2 linked regions of the Ovis aries genome follow. The protein of the gene in region 1 interacts with the protein of each later gene in a pairwise test. Links are inferred from orthologs where the notes say so. Each region holds a gene or a part of one and is shown on either strand. Other genes may lie near its edges.

Region 1 (2,487 bases):
GAGCGACAGGAACTGACCAAGTCCTGCAGGGCTAGAGCGGCCTAGGGATACCCTGAGCACTCTCCGCGTTACCGGTTTTTAATAAAAGTGCTGAAGAGCCGTTGGCCTCTGTTGTGGGGGCGCGGGGAGCCACAGAAGGGTGTGAGCCCGCGGGGAAGTGGGGTCTCCCAGGCCGGCGAGAGGGAACCAGATGCTGTGGGAGGGCTCCGTGAGAACCGCTTTCTGCCAGGGTCCTGGGGTCCCCATCGTCTCCAAGTCTCCAGGAAGTCAAGCCCCAGTGTCGCCGCCCCACCCCCCTGCCCTCTTCTCTTGGCTCTGGGCTCGCGAATCCGTGCCTAATGTCAAGGAGGTGCCCCATAAGGGTTCGTTCCGCTTCACACACCCCACCCCCACCCGTCCTCGCCCCAAGAGGTCCCAGATTTGGAGAAGGGCAGGATGGATGGTGATGCTATGTCTCCGAAGCAGAAGCTCAGAGAGTGAGCAGTGAAAGGAGCTGCGGGTCGGGACGCATTAACTCTTTATTGAGCCCCTCCCCCGCGGCGCCACGCCGGGCTGGGTGGTACGGTGGTCTCTGCTCAGGTCGTTCACCATCCGAGCGCCAGGACCCGGGTGCGCAGGATCCGCAACAGGAGCGAGTCAGTGCTGGCCTGTGCCTGGGAAAGAAAGCTCAGTGGGCGGGCGCTCCCAAGAAACAAGGCAATTCCGAAGCCCAGCTCACTCGTTTCTCTAAGCAGGAGGGTTTCTCCTTCACTTCCCCACCTAACCCGGTCTCCCACCAGCCCAGAGAGATGGATAGTGTTAAAGAAAGTTGTACTTGGGCCGGCGCGCTAGAGGGCGCGCCCCTCCTGGTTGAGGTTGGGAGTAGGGGCTCCAAGCGATCCCTAATGCCCCCGAGAGTACGATGGCCCGACGGTGGAAGGGGGTCCCCGCCAGGCCCCGCCGATGTCCACACTCACTTTCCCGCCCATCCGTCCGCTCTTCCTCTGCTCCTGCGTTGCCCTCTTCCCCTTCTACCGCGACCTCCTCATCCTCTTCCTCTCCAGAAGTGCCTAGGCCAGGAGAAGGCTGGGTGAGTTGGGGTCCCTTATTCTCTGGCCGTCTTACCCCCATCCCTCCCAGACCCAGAGGGTCTGGACGCCCAGTCCTAGCGGCTGGCCGCTCCCTCCCATCCTGGCTTCCTCACCTGGCTGGAAGTCAATGGTCCTCAGCATTTCCGCCACATGCTCCACGCTCAGGGTGAATTGATCCATTCTTTCATAGCCCGGCTCCGGCCGGCCGGCCAGCTCCACCTTCGACATCGTCCCGACCCTGCAGCAGCCCAGCGGCTCAGCTAGAGACTCCCAGCACCACTACCCCCGCTTCCCACCCTTGTCAGTGGAGTCCCCGCCCACCCCTTCCTCTCCCTTCCCGCTTCACCTACTCACTTATTGATCAACTCCTTGGCCTGCTGCAGGGAAGAAAGGAGGGTGAGAGTAAGCACTGTGCCAACGTCCAGCAATATCCCATTTCTGATGCCCACCACTGTCCTGCGGGTTAGGGGGGATGCATGTCCCAATTTGTTAAGGAAAAAAATGGATAGAGAGGGTGACTTGCCCAAAGCCACGGGGCAAGTAGGAGCCAGAGGTAAGACTTGAACCCGGCTTCCCAGTGCAAAGGCCCCCACTCCAGCCACTAGGTGGCCTGCCACTGCCCGCCCCCCTCCCCCCAGGGCCCACCTGCAGGTAGAGTGCCATCTGCGGCTCCTCCATGGACTGGATGGCAGACTCCACCAGCTTAGAGGAGGCCTCCAGGTGGTCTCCGTACTGGCGGATGAGGCCCCTGACTCGCTGCAGCTTCTCCTCCTGCTCCCGGGCCAGCGCCTGCAGCAGCTCACCCTTCCGCTCCTCCAGCACTGCACACAGGCCCTCAAACCTCTGGTTCAGCAACTGCTTCTGCCTCCGGCTGTTTTCCTGAAAAACCAGGAGTAAGGATGAGACCTCACAGCTGGGAGAGTACCAGGCTACTTGTCCCACTCCCCACTTAATGGCAGTCACGGGGAGCCAAGAAGAGATGTGACCCGTCAATTACAACCACAAATTAGTGGCAGAGACCGGACTCCACCCAAGGGCTGCTGGTTCCCAGATCTTTTCAGTAATAATACTGATATATACTTTGTTGAGGTTTAATTGACATATAACATACTAGCTTCAGGTGTACAACATAATGATCCAATATTTGTATATGTTGTGAACGGATCACCACAATATGTCTAGTTAACATCCAGCACCATACATAGTGGACAAAAATTTTTCCCTGTGATGGGAACTTTTAAGATCTACTCTCTCAGAAAATAACACTATATATTTAAAGGAGTTTCATTGAGTGCTGCTGCCTAATTCTCTGACTCTGGTTTTTGTTTGTATTATCTCACTTAATTCTCAAAAAGATCCATGGAGGTAGCCATCATATCATTCTCATCATCACTCTTTTACGTAGTTAAAAACAAGC
Region 2 (3,500 bases), on another chromosome or scaffold:
CAGAGAATGTGTTGGCTGTTTTGGGAGTCTGAGATCCAGTATACACGTCCATCACTCAGGGGCTCCCCAACGCCACCTGACTCAACCAGCTTCAGCAAAGAGGCTGGGGCATCGGCTGTCCTCTGCCCAGCCACTTGTTTTTCAATGAAGGAACAGGCCTAGAAAGAGGAAGTGGTTTGTCTGCAGTCACATCATCATGACTGGAACTCAGGCTCCAAAGTAGACACCAGCACTCTCTTCTCTCCCAGTTGACCAGATGTCAACTGTCTTGTAGTGGTAGTACCTTTAACAAGTCAAGAATAGGTTCAGGTGGTCCTATTCCAAGAAAGAACAGTGGGAGGGGAAATGGGGTTTTGAAGCTCCTCGTTTGGTAAGCATGGGAGGCAGGGCAAGGGGACTGATTTCTCTGCAGCTGGTGAACAAAACATCTTCAGTCACTCAGAACAGGAGAGTCTAAATTGTCCCCTAGAGTTTGGTCTTCCAGACCCACACCTGCAGGAGAAGCAGGATCGCTGGCGAGAGCTGTCACCCATCTCTTCTGTAAGCGCTTCATCCAGTCTCCATCCCTTCAAGGCAGGACATCCACATAGTCGCTGCCACTGTTCTCTGGGGAGAAAAGGAGACCAGCCGTGAGGCTCTGCACCCAGGAGTCACCCTGACCAACACCTCTCGTGGGAAAGAAGCCCTCTGCCCAGGCACAGGGTGGTCTTGATGCCACAGCAGAGTGACACCTTCAAGAGCTGGGGCACCACAGGGAGCTCTCCTGGCAACATAGGGGGCCTGTTTATAAGTCAAGGACAAGAGTTTCCAGCACCAGATGCCTCCACTCACCAGCAGAGAACCTGTGCCGCCCTGAGGGTGAGAACACGTGAGGCTTGTTCTGAGGTGGCCAAGGGAACGGGGGCGGGGGAGACGATGAGCAGCTCAGAAGAAGTTCCTTCCCCCTTAATGGCTGAGGATTTGGGAGCTCGTTCTGCCAAGGCTGCCCGAGCTTGGACAACTGGTGTGGCGAGATTCCCGCTCAGCTCTTGGAATGAACTCCAAAGGGTTCTCCTCTTGGGATTTGTGGTTATTTTATTATCCCTGAGACAAATACTACCGCCACCCTCAAGCACCCCGAGCAGCTCATCAGGGTTTGCCTAAGGACTGCAGCACGAGTACATCCCTAGGTTGCTCCTCTGCCCCCCTTTTATTCTTTGTATTTTTATTTCTTTCTGTAAGTTATGGTAGAAAATGGCCATGGGACCACATCTGCAGCTATAACTATAGCAAGCAACTCTGTGATGGGGTACACACTCCTCTGCCTGGGGGAGGGAGACAGAAACAATGGGAGGGGAGGGCTGTTTTCTCATTAAAAAACTGTGTTCAGTCTTGGGGAGGTGAGAAGCTTTCTCTGGCAGTCTAAAGGGCAGCGAGGCTGTAGACAGAGTACAATGGGTATGGGGTGACTGCAGACTTCCTGGAACCCTCTGTTCCCCTCCTTGCTCCCTAGCTAGCACTCTGCTCCCATTACGTCACCTGCCCACTGAGGACTGAAATCCCTTTAATGGGGCTCTAACCATACATTCCACCTTGAGAAAACAGGGTTAAACTGTAAATGTCTCAGGAAGTCTGAGCTAAATTCGAACTATGTTGTGACTGATGGATACTAGATTCTTTTCTGCTAACAGATTTCAAGGGGTGTACACAAGAGTCACTGCTTGGGATATGACCTGGATCCTGTGCACTCAGATTTACTGATCCTCTGCACTCTCATTTCCCACCATGGCTTGATAACTCTTGGGGTGTATCTGAAATAATTAGCCCCCTGCTCCCTACTAAGGCACTCCAGTCATGTCTGACTCTGTGCGACCCTATGGGCTGTAGCCCACCAGGCTCCTCTGTCCATGGGATTCTCCAGGTAAGAATACTGGAGTGGGTTGTCATGCCCTCCTCCAGGGCATCTTACAGACCTAGGGGTCAAACCCACATCTCTTATGTCTCCTGCAATAACAGGCGGGTTCTTTACCACTAGGACCACCGGGAAAGCCCAATTTGTCCACTAACACCACATAAATGAATGCTTAGCAAATATTGAGCAAAATGTAACAGGATGAGGCTTGGAGAAGGAAGTTGAAGCAATTTTCTTATTTGAAAATTCTGCTTTTTGGCCATCTATTCCCAAATATGTGATTGGCACAAGGTCACAGGGTGAGTTTGAAGTTGACTCATGGAATGCCTGGGAGAAGGCAATGGCACCCCACTCCAGTACTCTTGCCTGGAAAATCCCATGGACAGAGGAGCCTGGTAGGGTGCAGTCCATGGAGTCGCTAAGAGTTGGACACGACTGAGAGACTTCACTTTCACTTTTCACTTTCATGCATTGGAGAAGGAGATGGCAACCCACTCCAGTATTCTTGCCTGGAGAATCCCGGGGACAGAGGAGCCTTGTGGCTGCTGTCTATGGGGTCGCACAGAGTCGGACACAACTGAAGCGACTTAGCAGCAGCAGCCGCAGCATGGAATGCCCGGGGACCACTATTTTCCCTGGGTTGCCTGAGCACAGAGAGCTCTGTGCGTTTGCCACCACCAGGAGCATGAAGGCACTGCTTCCTAACAAGATAGAAAAATGCTATTCGCAGGATGAGGCTTTCTAGAGCTAACATCATAGAAAGGAGCAGTTATCTGTATGGATTCTGTAGTAGAAGTGGGACTAAGGCTCTTGTCTGGGCCCCCTATGAAAGTTTTTACCATAAATACCATCCAACTCTATCTTCGATCTTCTCCATCTCAGGCAGGATCTGGTTCTCTTTATTGGGTTTACGAGGTGAAACATCAGTCCTTGATTTGGCTTTTCAAACTTGGAGATCAGTTCCTTCAGGTTTGGAAAGATCTCTCGTTTAACACCTTCCACAGTCTGCAAAAATACAAGAAGGAGAGCACTCATCACCACGCAACTATGTGTGAAAGGTGACACTTCTCACAACAGTGGTTTTCAGGGCTGCCTCTGAGCAGCGAACTGAAAACAAGTGGCTGGCATTTCATGTGTGGGAGCTCACACCACACACAAAACACAGAAACCTTCCCTCTAAAAACAGAGCTCTGGCTTGAGCTACTGTGAGTAAAGAGGATTAACAATCAAGGGTCCCCACCTCAGTCTGCAGTATTGAGTGAATTCCCATCTATGGCAATGTGGGGGCAGCTCTTGTCCGTACCCTGTGGAGGGTAACCCCTCTAAGAGCTTATGTGAGAGTGTAAGCGACTAATGCAGGCAGACTTCAATGGGAAATGCAATTTCTGTACTTGATGGTGGTCCAGTGGTTAGGAATCAGTGCTGTCACTGCGTGGTCCTGGGTTCAATCCCTGATCAAGGAATTAAGATCTTGCAAGCCACATAGCCAAAAAAAAAAAAAAAAAATCATAAAAGCCTACATACTTGAATTCAGAATCTCCGTGAGAGGAAAATAAGACCAAAATGTCCGGATTTAAATTGAAAATGGAAATGTCAGCATGATTCAGGT

What was found. The genes of interacting proteins can lie anywhere in the genome.
Region 2: the proteins of TRIM54 (region 1) and SH2D1B interact in binary tests that used the Homo sapiens proteins (3 or more experiments, as listed by UniProt). The two-hybrid records come from large-scale screens. The link is inferred for Ovis aries from reciprocal best matches to the Homo sapiens genes TRIM54 and SH2D1B.

What each region holds. Positions count from the first base shown.
Region 1 is NC_056056.1:34,380,722-34,383,208, reverse strand, and holds the end of TRIM54 (tripartite motif-containing protein 54), read right to left. Parts: intron 1,950-2,487; coding exon 1,716-1,949; intron 1,448-1,715; coding exon 1,425-1,447; intron 1,309-1,424; coding exon 1,184-1,308; intron 1,050-1,183; coding exon 957-1,049; intron 654-956; coding exon 637-653; 3' UTR 501-636; downstream 1-500. UniProt on the Homo sapiens protein: May bind and stabilize microtubules during myotubes formation.
Region 2 is NC_056054.1:113,921,963-113,925,462, forward strand, and holds part of SH2D1B (SH2 domain-containing protein 1B), read right to left. Parts: intron 2,897-3,500; coding exon 2,731-2,896; intron 607-2,730; coding exon 569-606; 3' UTR 1-568. UniProt on the Homo sapiens protein: Cytoplasmic adapter regulating receptors of the signaling lymphocytic activation molecule (SLAM) family such as CD84, SLAMF1, LY9 and CD244. In SLAM signaling seems to cooperate with SH2D1A/SAP.